Pelodiscus sinensis: one gene and its partners. The protein of the gene in region 2 purifies or fractionates together with the protein of the main gene of each other region. This does not show direct contact. Links are inferred from orthologs where the notes say so. Each region holds a gene or a part of one and is shown on either strand. Other genes may lie near its edges.

Region 1 (3,747 bases), on a different chromosome or scaffold from region 2:
ATCTTTCTGCTTATGAGCTTGATCCTACAACATATGGGTTATCTCAGCACCCTCTGGGACTGGAGTTTTTTATTACTGTAGCTTTGGGATCTTTGTGTGTCTGCACACACATACACACATGCTTTAGGAACTCAGAAAATTAATCACTGGCTTGGCTTCCAGCAAGAATTTAGGACGGAATTTTTTTTTCTGGAATGCAACAATCAGTAAACCCAGCACACCAAGTCCCAAGGGACCAATAGATTGGCGGCATGTTCTCTATATAGGAGAAGGGAGGGAGAGAGAGGCCAGCAGTTTGCAATGAATGTGCTTTAATTGGAATGCCAGAGACTCCACTGGTGCCTTTCTGGGTAGCAATGAAATGGTCTGGGATGTCCAGCCAGCCAGCCTCAAGCTCACATTGCTCAGTCTGTCTGCATTTAGCATGTTCCGCTGCCAGGTTTGCTGGATGCTGGGGTCTGAAAATAGCCCTTCTAGCCAAGAGCAGGGGGATCCAGTATCACTGTGTCGGCAGAGCAGAATTGGAGGGTGGGAAAAATAGATTATTTCTGTGTCTGCAATGCTAGGCTTCATGTGTAACCACATTAGAGTCGCCTCTACCTGTAGTGCCTTGGGTGACATTGACTCCCTCCAAGGACATGAAGACTAATCCCATATGCATTGTAGAGATGACTGATGCATCCCCCTGTGTATTGCCCACACGTTACATGCAGCCTTTTCTTGGTTGCACGGCATGTCTGTGTGACACCTATTGCTCTTCTCTCTTTTTGTGAATACTACACTAGTTCTTTCCAGGTGTGCTTCTCAGTTAGGATGTAACATCCATGTGCATTGCACAAAAACCGCACACTACTCCATGAGCAGGGCACACAGAACGGTGTTGGCTTCTCCGGCACTGCACTGCACGCCCATTGACCATTCCCACCCGCACTGCACTATACACACTGGCCCTTATAAGGACACTAGCTCTCTACTGGGTACGCGGCATACACCTGGCACACACATTGCCCCAATTCGCACCACCATTGTACACCACTTGCATTTGCACACCCGCTGCACGTTCATTCCCTATCACTTGCATACCCGTGTGCTTGCACATGTGCACACCCGCTGGCCTCACTATCCATCCTCACCCCTCCAGCCCCAGCGGCCTTTGCACATACATTTGCACACGCACTGTGCACCGATGGCTCCCACACTCCTGTCCACACCCACCGACTAGCCCACGTGCAGCCGCACGCTCACTCCCTCCCGAGGACAGTGCCCCAGACGTGCTCTGTTTAGTGTCGGCGGACAGCTGCTCCCCCGCCCTCGCCTTTACGGGCGGGCCTCCCCTTTAAGGCCCGGCAGCCCCGGCGGCGCTGCTCGCTCGCGCTCGGTGTCTCGCGCTGGCCGGGCCCGGACGGGAGCGAGGCTGCGGTGGTTGCTATGGCGGAGTGGGCTCGCGCTGCCGGCCCCTTCTCGCGCTCGCCGCTGCTGGGGGCCGCGCTCGCGCTGGTCCTGCTGCTGCTGGGCGGCCCCGGGGGAGCCTGGGGTGAGTGCGGCGGCCCAGGAGCCCCCTCGTGGGGCGGCGGCCTCCCGCTGCGGGGGGGCTTGGTGCTTGTGAGGCCCCCCCTGCTCTGGGGGGGGCCAGGATGGGGGGGTTGAGGGGCCCCCCTGCCCTCTGGGGGGGCCAGGATGGGGGGGTTGAGGGGCCCCCCTTGCGCTCTGTGGGGGGCCAGGATGGGGGGGTTGAGGGGCCCCCCTGCTCTCTGGGGAGGGGCCAGGATGGGGGGGTTGAGGGGCCCCTTGCGCTCTGGGGGGGGCCAGGATGGGAGGGGTTGAGGGGCCCCCCTTGCGCTCTGGGGGGGCCAGGATGGGAGGGGTTGAGGGGCCCCCTTGCGCTCTGGGGGGGCCAGGATGGGGGGGTTGAGGGGCCCCCTTGCTCTTTGGGGAGCTTTGGAGAGATGGGAGGGGCTGAAGGGCCCCCTGATTGGGGGCCATGCTCCAGGAAAGTGCAGGGATTTGGCAGGTTGGGGGCCTACCTACAGGGCACCTGAGGGCTGCCTGTCTGGAATGCAGGGATGCGGGGGGCTCAGGAGCTTCCCCCCGTGCTGCAGGGAATGGGGTTACCTTCCTGTGCGGTGTCTGAGATATATTTGGGGATCTCTTTCCAGAGGGTAATTGAAGGAGCTGCAAGTGTCTCTTTTCTTTGAGGGGGTGCTGGGGTTTGGGGGAGGTATAAGTGAGGAGGGTCTCTGGGGGACAATGGGTAGGGGTGCCTGGGTCTGTTATTTCCTGGCAGGGAGGAATGGGGGGGATGTCTGGGAGGAAGGGATTGGGGCACCTTGGCTTAACTTCCATAGGTGGGATCTGAGGTTGGGAAAGAGGCTAGGTGCGTACAGGTTTAGCTGAGGGGGGCCTTATTCTCATGGATGTAGGGTTAAGATGGTGCAGGTCTAGGAGGAGACTCTAGAAGGAACTGCTGTCTGAGAAGCTGGCAGGAGGCTGTGGGGGCTAGGTATGTGAAATCCCATTTTATCAGTTAACCGATTAAACATTGTTTAGGTGGTTAACTTTAAATGAGGCAGGGAGGGTGGGTGGGGGGAGGCTGGCTGGAGTGGCCCCCTACTCCTGCTGCGGGGCTGGCTAGTCCACTGGTTAATTCTAATTGGTAAGCATCATGTTGTAAGGGTGATGTTTACCAATTAACCATTGGCATCCTAGAGGGGACTGAGCGTATTTTACAAAGGACATTTGGGGAGCCACATTGTCTAGGCAGGCAATAGGAAGTGTGTGTGTTCAACTGATCGACCTTCTGTATAGGTGTAGGTTCTGCTTTTTGTTGTGTGAGAGGCTTGGAATGCTTTTTTTGTGTTTTGGGAACAATAGAAGGCAACTGAAGACTTATAGGAGAGGGGAGAGGGCTGTCTCCATTCCGGGTATGGGAAAATATTTACCAGAGGGCTCTCAGATTACCCTCTTTTAAAGAATAGGGAAATTTGGGGAGCTTTTCAGGGGGTGGGCTTTCTTGTTCTCAGTGGACAGATATTTGTGTATAGGCAACCCCTTCTACCACACATTGTAGGCTAGTGTCTCAAAACTGTATATCGCTGATCTATGGCATTTCTACAACTTCCATTCCATTGGTAGCCTTCCAGGACTGGTGCATGACTAGCGTGAGGGGTTCTGATATCTGGCAATACCCATGTTCCTCTAGAGCAGTGGTTCTCAAAGTGTAGTGTGCGGACCACCTTCCAGGGGGTTCATAACTCAAGCTCAGCCCCTCTCAATGCTCATCGTTGCCATGCAGCCACGAGGCCGCACCACCAGCTCTCGCTTCCATTCGGAGGGTACGCAGGGGTAGGGGAGAGTGAAAAAAGCCCCAGCCTTTCCTGCCAGACCCAGCTCACTGAATCTGCCTCTCTCTGCGAGCCAGATCTAGTGGGGAAGTTGGGGCTTTCTTCAGCTCCCCATCCCCTGCATGCCCTCTGTGTGGGATGCCGGAGCTGGTGCTGCAGCCTCGCGGCTGCACAGACGCCTCACGGCTGCTCAGACTCCCCGCTTCGTGGGGGCCGGCGGGTGGCTGAGCTCTCTCCCCATCCCGCTGGGAGAACCTCAGCGTGGTGAGACGCTGTCCAGAGGCTTTCCCTCTTTGCAAGGGGGCACAAAGCCAGGTAAGCGTCCCCCTTCAAGCCAGATCCCTGGATCCTAATCCCCCTCACTCACTCCCCACTAAGACCCTGCGTCCCCAGCTTGCTCCAACAC
Region 2 (3,747 bases):
CTGGAAATTCAGTTATTAAACCTAAACTCCAGGGATCCATTTCCCAAAGCAAAGCAGATCTAGATTATGCACGTCTGGCTCGTTCGCCGGGACCTCTCTGCAAATTATCAACCCTCTCTAAAGCAAAAATTCACTGCTGAATATCGTTTGAAAGGTTCAAGGCATCTGAAGGGTTACAGGGTTTCCTTTTTTGTACACAGCCTTCTCCATATAGACAACAGTGAACCACATCCTTGTTTTACTGCAGGTAGAAAAAAAAAAAGGAAACCCGCTGTGCAAGAAGCGCCTTGCAAGGGAAGAGGCCGGCTAAAAATTGCAACCCGAACTCCAAGCACCTTCCTAGGGTGACGTGCGAATTTTGCCAGAGTAAAAAAACCTGGAAGCCTCGGCTATTGTGTGACACAAACGCGGACAATAGACGCTGATTATCCAACCATCCTCAGAACCAGTGTTGGACTCCCACCCCTATGTCCCTATTTTCTGTGCATACGGCAGTTCCCGTGTTCCTACCCGCTCACCCACCCCAGCTCGGGAGTTTCCCACCCGTGCACATGCCTGCCCTCCGGCGTACCTAGTTCACAGAGCCTGGTGAGGTGGTGGGGATTGCAGCAAACCAGCTCCGGGTGAGTTTTTCCATAAGATTCACAGCAACATAACCTCTTCACTTCCGAGCAATGCCTGAGATCGGGCCACCTGAATACTTTACACAGCAGCAAAGGGAGCGAGTACCAATGCTGGCCCAGTTTGGAGTCCACCTTGCCGGGCAGGAGGAGGCAGGAGGTCCGCGTGCCCCCTTTGGATTCCACCGCTTGCAAGAGCACCTCCAGCTGTTTCTCCTTCAGCCTCTTCAGGACCGCGTGGGTCAGCGCTTTCAATTCCGCCTCCGAGCCGAGGTGAGCTTTGCTGATCTTCCCCGACTTGCCCATACAACAGCCCCGGCCGCCTCCAGCCCCATGCGCCCGGCTGTCCGCTCCTGGTTCCCCGGGCTCTCCTTCCTCCTCCTCCCCGCCGGGCGCACGGCTCCTCCAGAGTCGCCGGACGAGCACCGATCGTTTGGTCCTGAACATGCGGGACGAGAAGAAGGTTTCCCGGCTAAAAAACGAGCATGTCGTCCGCAAATCATGAAGAATCCGGGATCCGAGTCCAGGCAGCCAACACAAGCAGCCTGAAATGATAGGGATATAGTGGGGAGGAGGGTTGGTGGCGGTGGAGGTTGTGGAAGAGCCAAAGCAATCTGTAACATACGCCAGTCTCTTACAGGGCTGGAGTTGTTCCTGTCTCTCTTAAATCCTTCAAAAAGCCGCTGGAAATCCTACAGTTTCATACAGATCTATTCAGAATTTCTCACCAACTACTTCTAAATAGGAACTGGGAGAACAGAAACTAAAAGAGATGGGGTGGAGGGGAGAAATCAAATGTTCACTGTATCAGAAGAATTGCAGAAAACATGCTCCCCCGTCAAAGAGATAGGGGAAGAACAGATCTTCTTGTGTTGCAGGTCTGTCAAAGTGATTGCAAAATCTCTAGATCACATTTGGTTTCAGATGAGGATGACTGTTTTAGATAAAAAAAAATCAAGATGTTCCCCATCCCCCAAAAACTGTGTTGCAAAACGAAGGCACACGATTTAAAAAAAAAAACCCCTATTTCCTTAGTAATAACATATCCATAGATTCCATAAAAATAAGAGTTTTTTGGAAGGGGACTGGGAAAAAAGGATTTTCTACAAGAGGGGGTGGATTTTTAAAAAGAAAGAGCCAAAAGAACTCATAATTTAAAAAAAAAACTAAAATGTGGACGTCTGAATAATCACAAAAACTTACATTTTTTTTAAAAAAAATGCACCCAAGAATGTTACATCCTTTTTAAAAAAGCGCCCAAGTCTTCCTGATGCTTTTTCCCCTTCTTCTTAGCAAAGATTTTAATCCACACACCAAAAAAATCGTCGAGGCGGCTGCTAAGATATATATATATATATATATATATATATATATATATATATATATATATATATATATTTAAAAGTGGGAGTCTCTCTTCCCTTCCAAAAGGCTGGTTCCGCTCCCCTCTCCCTGGCTGCCTTTCAGAAAGACCAGGAGGTAGGGACAGTTTTTCTTAAAATACAGTTGCCCCCACCTCTCCTCCCACCCAACCCTTACAAAATAAAAGGACGGATGGGTGAGAAGTGGCAGGGATGATCCTATAATGAATGACAGGCGCTGAAATTATCACCTGCCCCCCCCCCCCCCCTTCAGTCTCTCTTCTGTCTCGCTCTTTCTCTCGCTAGTACATGCTAATGCAGCCGTTCGCTCTTCTTCCTTCCCTTCTGGCTGCAGCTCTCCTCCTCCAAGGCAGCCTTTCCAGTCCTTGCATCGGCTATCAACACACACGGGGGAAAAAAGCAGCTCCTTTTGCTTGGCTCGCTTGGGTTGCTTTGCCTTTTTTTTTCCTCCTTCCCCTCCTTTTTCCACTCCCTTCTTCCTTCACAGAGCGCTCATTGCAGAAGATTCTGTCTCTCCCCACACGCACACACCTTTTTCTTCTTCCTTCCCTTGGGCGACAGGGGGAGTTCCTTGTCTTTTGGAGGGGGTGGCCTGCGAAGAGGAGGGGGGCTCCCAAGTGAGGTGGCTATTACCTAGCAGTGTCCATAGCCTTGCAGCCGTCCGCCAGCTCGGCTCTCTAGCCAGCCAACAGCCTCCTCCTCCTCCTCTCCTTCCCCCCTCCTCGCCGCTTTGCCTCGGTGACTCGCAGTGCGCAGTATCGCTGCCCAGCCCCGGCCCCCAATCACGTGGGCGTCTAGACACCCTGTCGCTTTAAAAAAAAAAGTGATTGTGTTGCGCAAACAACAGATCGGGTTTCTAAAAGCTATTTTTTTATTTCTGAAGTCTGGAGAGCGAGGAGGGGAGCGGGTAGGGGAAGTGCATAGAATTCACATCACATTCAAGAAATACATTAATTTTCTTTAAAAAAAAACCAAACCACGATCAAGATACAGTGCACCAAGGAAATAATTGCTCATGGAGATGAACTCAAGAGGATATTTATCAGTGAGATGCTGCGGTGAGGGGTAGCTTGCTCGATATTTGTATCGACAGGGTTTGCTTTCACATTCAAAAAAAGAGTTTGCAGACTCAGTTTGGGCTTTTTTGTTTTGTTTTTCTGCATGCTGGATTATTACTGTAATTTGTGGCTCTCTTTGCATTGAAGTTACTGGCAGATTTGTTTTTAGTTGGGGTCAGGTGGAGCTGTGCATTGGGCCCTTATTAAAGAGACATATATACGAGGTGCTTGCACAAAGGATGCAAAAAGATGGTTTTTCAGATGGGTGAGAAAAGAGGGTGTAGAAAACACCCAGAAAAAGTAAAACAAAGATCCTGAAATAGGATTGTTTGATGCAGTTCCCTGTGTCTGTCCAAAGGCCCTGTATCTGACCACAGGAGGGGAGGCCTACAACTGTGGTTGTGTAAAATAAATAAATGCCATAATAAATTGCAATTTTTAAAAAATCTATAAACTAAATCAACAGTTAATTTGTAAAGCCAAAGAAAGACATTAGGTAAAATGTAATGAAAACACTTTGCACTTGTACAGCACTTGTCATCAGAGGATCTCAATGGTGGGTAAGTGTAATTAACCCTTTCTTACAAGTGAGGAAAATGAGCCATGGATATTAATAAAACATCATCACAACACTTTGCACTATATAGTGCAATGCTTCAAAGAACCTGACATTTTTAATAAATGAAG
Region 3 (3,747 bases), on a different chromosome or scaffold from region 2:
AGTTACTCATTAGAGAGGAATACCTAGCTTATGGTTGTTGGGGAAGTGCATCAGAGACTTCTTCCATTTCTTCCAGTACAATATAGCTATGAGACTCTCTGGTAATAGCAGACATTTTTCTGTTGTCAACAATCAGGAAAGACAGAAATAAGAAGGGATGAAGTACCATTAGCCCTTCATTTTTCATCTCTTGCTGATAGGATTAGTAACTGTCCATCTAGTAAGTGTCTGGTAGATGTTTCAAGACCCAATTTGTCGCTTGTCCTCATGGGGAAATTAAAGTCTACAGTTATACTGCTGTAGCTATAATATGTCTATCTAGACAAGTTCTTAAATAGCTCAGAACTCCAGTGGGAGAGAATAAACTTGAGTTCAAAGAGTCCAAGTGAAAAAAAAATTCTTTGCAGATTCAAACTAAATATCACAAAATCAATCTGGTTCAATATGTAGGTTTGTAGATTTAGGACAAAAGTCTAGATTAGAACAAGAATAGTATGTGCACTGCAGATCGGGATTAAGACACATTGGTAGAGCTGTTTGAAAAGCATTTGTGCAGTAACTACCTGCATCATGGCTGGTTCACCCCGTACTATTAGTCTTGTTTACATCTGAATTAAGTTTCTCCCTCTTAAAATTATTGCCATTATCTCATTTATCTGACAATTCAGCTTTTAGGTTCAACATTCTGTGAAAAATAAAACCATTAACTGAGCTATCTAAATAGAAAGTTACTACCAAAGCAGAAGATGTGTAAACTGATGTATAAAGAATATTCCTCTTTGAAAAAACAGAACAGGTTTTCGCTTATGTACATGAAACCCTGAATACATATTCACAGAGACTAAATTTATTAACGTATGTTATTCTTGATCAAAAGACCTCCCCTGCTCTTAAGACTTATCCACAGTAGGGAAAAAGGCTACGTTTTTGTTCAACATGATAGTTAGACCTTAATATAGAGAGGCAAATTGCTGTCTGTGCTGGCTAGCTCTGGTGAACTCTAAGCTACCCACAAGGAGCCTCAGAAGGTAGTGTAGCATAACCTTGTACCCACAGGTGTGGGCAGTCATCTGATGAGTTTTGACTCTGGATCGTCTCAATCAGAAGAGAGGCCAGAGTGCCTCAATCTATCCCTATGCCTCAGCCACCCCCATCAACTTCCATGCATTTTTCTTCTTTTACCTCTCTCTCTCTCTCTCTCTGTTTAGCTAATCCTCTAACATTTTTAATAGACTGTAGTATTAACATGACAAATGCAAGTCATCATTCTGCTGGCATATTATAACTTATTCTTACCCTCCTGCCCCATCACACACCCACCCTTTTACCTGTTTCCTCTATTCAGACTGTACACTTGTCAGGACAGGGACTGTTTACAACGCTGCATACTATCTACTACAGTGGGGCCCTGTTCTCAGCTAGCCCCCAGGCACTACTGTAAACAACGGAGTCTGCTAGAAAGTCTACCAACAGGCCATATTTTGAACAGTAAAGCAAATAATTTCTTTCTTTAAACGATCAAATTATAAGATTGTCTTTTACATTAAACAGCTATGCAATTTAACTTGCTAGACAAAAAAAGAATCAAAAACCCCAAACGCATCTTTTTAAACATGAACTTCTCGGATTCCTAAGACAAGCCAGACTTCTTTTTTTTTTTTTTTTTGCAGCATCCATGACAAAAAGAAATTAGTAGAGCAGGAAAAACAAATTTTTTAAGGCCTCTATAAAACACTGGAGTAGACCACATTCTCCTAAAATACCCCACTAAAAGAAAATCAATGACAGCCATGAGAAATGGATGCCAAATATACATAGTGAGTACTCTTTCATGGAAATTTAAAATGCCCGCATTTTTGGTCATGAAGGCCTATTACTTCAATTGAAGCATGTATTATAGACACACACCAAAAGCAAATTCAGGAGATTATTTTGGGCTAATTAACAACAAAAGAACACAACACCTTTAACCTCCCTGAGGAGACAAGGTTTTGGCGTCCATGCCAATGAGACGGTTAAAAATAACTGTACGTCTCCATCAGCTGAACTGCCCCCACAGTTTGAGGCAACTCCGTCAGCGGAGCCTACGCTGATCCCTCTCCCCCACCGTCACTCTAGCACTCACACAGGAAAGGCCTGACCCACCCCACACAACACACGGGCCCGTTCACCCGAGACCCTTTTATCTGCCTCCCATCGCACCGTTAGCACCAGCCGCAGCTTCGCACAACCGACACCTTGGGGCGGACAATACAGACTTCTCCCTTCCCCAGCGCCTCCCTCCCCCTCTCCCCCATCTACGCTCCACCCCCACCCGGGGACCCCAACGTACCTGGGACATTAAGGCCGAGGGAGGGGGCGCTGGGCGGGGTAACAGCCCCCAGCAAGGGGAAGGGAGAACAAGGAAGAGGCGCCGTCAGCCACCGGAAGGACCCTGCTCAGCTCGTCTTGGCCCGGCCCAGCAGGCCCCGGCTTTCTTCTCCGCTACGCCCGCTCCCGTGGCCCGCCGCCCCTCACGCACCGCCCGCAACGCGGCCCTCGCGCCGCTGGCCGAATCCCCGCTCGAAGCCGCCCGGGGCCCGGCGAAAGTGCAGCCTAAGGCGGTTGAGGTTTTGTCTGCTGCGCAGCCCCCTGCGCGGACCGCCGCTGCCAAGCCCTCCCTCCCCAGGCGCGGCACGACACTTAGTGCTGCTTTCCAGCAGCCTGCAAAGCGCAGCCGCTGCGCCAAGCACCCCTCCTTCCGTGCGGCTCCTCCGCCTGGGCGGGGCTTCGGGTAGCATGGCATGTGCTGAAGAGCGCCATCTTTTGGGCGGAGGCGGGAATGGCAGCGGCAGCCACCGCGAGGGCCGCTGTGCTGAGCCCACGGCTGGCTTGTGGAGGGTGGGAGCGCTCAGGATGGCCGTGAGAAGGGCAGAGTGGCAAGCAGTTTCGCCAGAGCCAAAACACATCATGCGATTGGCTCAGTCAGAAATCACTAGCTATTGTTAAATAAATTAGGGTATTTGTGGTTTCCTAGCCTCTCAGCTGCACTCCCTTCATCTTAAAAAATAACAAATAGTTTGGTATCACTTTAACAAAACTTTAAAGTGCTACTAAACTGTTAGTTTCTTTTACGTTTTTCCTGTTACAGACTAACTGGGCTACCCTTCTGAATCGCTTCATCTTGTTCTGCAACCAAGAAGACTAGGTGCTTACTTTAAAATAGCTCAGAGATCAGTGATGTATACACCTGCAAGAAGAAGTCTGCAGCATTCTCTTCTTTATTATGAAGGCTCAATCAGTGAAGTTTCTGGTGCTGGATTCAGACCTATGCTAAAGCATTTTTCATTAACTGGTACCGAACAGTTTTCTCATTTCACAATACAAATAAATAAAGATGTATTATAAAAAGTACAGAGAATCTTGCCAACTTAGTTTTTCTCATTTACTCAGTATCACCTAGTTAAAAAGTCAAGAGATTCATCTCTCTATGCTCTGGTAGAGCTTAGTTCAACTACATATGGGATGGGTCCTTGTCCCTCATTGGATGATTGATGCCAGTGAAGAATACCTGGGCTCTTTATTATAATGGTACACCAGTTCCACTATGGTTAAGATTAAGACCAGCTTTCAGGTTAAAACCTAGCTGTTCTAAGTGCTCTGAAATCTGCAATGTCTCAGATTGTCTTTAATTTTGGTGTTTCATGGAAGTCCAGGGTTTGACAAGCGATCCAAATTTGTGGTCATTTGAACCAAGGGTTCCTAAGA

The links.
Region 1: the proteins of SMAD7 (region 2) and ACVR1B purify together in Homo sapiens (affinity purification with western blotting; 3 studies listed by BioGRID and IntAct, with this or other methods). This does not show direct contact. The link is inferred for Pelodiscus sinensis from reciprocal best matches to the Homo sapiens genes SMAD7 and ACVR1B.
Region 3: the proteins of SMAD7 (region 2) and RNF111 purify together in Homo sapiens (affinity purification with western blotting; 3 studies listed by BioGRID). This does not show direct contact. The link is inferred for Pelodiscus sinensis from reciprocal best matches to the Homo sapiens genes SMAD7 and RNF111.

What each region holds. Positions count from the first base shown.
Region 1 is NC_134729.1:5,485,956-5,489,702, reverse strand, and holds the start of ACVR1B (activin receptor type-1B), read left to right. Parts: upstream 1-1,341; 5' UTR 1,342-1,428; coding exon 1,429-1,534; intron 1,535-3,747. UniProt on the Homo sapiens protein: Transmembrane serine/threonine kinase activin type-1 receptor forming an activin receptor complex with activin receptor type-2 (ACVR2A or ACVR2B).
Region 2 is NC_134716.1:116,252,214-116,255,960, reverse strand, and holds the start of SMAD7 (mothers against decapentaplegic homolog 7), read right to left. Parts: upstream 2,748-3,747; 5' UTR 1,068-2,747; coding exon 572-1,067; intron 1-571. UniProt on the Homo sapiens protein: Antagonist of signaling by TGF-beta (transforming growth factor) type 1 receptor superfamily members; has been shown to inhibit TGF-beta (Transforming growth factor) and activin signaling by associating with their receptors thus preventing SMAD2 access.
Region 3 is NC_134724.1:30,138,542-30,142,288, reverse strand, and holds the start of RNF111 (E3 ubiquitin-protein ligase Arkadia), read right to left. Parts: upstream 2,746-3,747; 5' UTR 2,333-2,745; intron 120-2,332; exon of another isoform or gene 24-119; intron 1-23. UniProt on the Homo sapiens protein: E3 ubiquitin-protein ligase. Required for mesoderm patterning during embryonic development. Acts as an enhancer of the transcriptional responses of the SMAD2/SMAD3 effectors, which are activated downstream of BMP.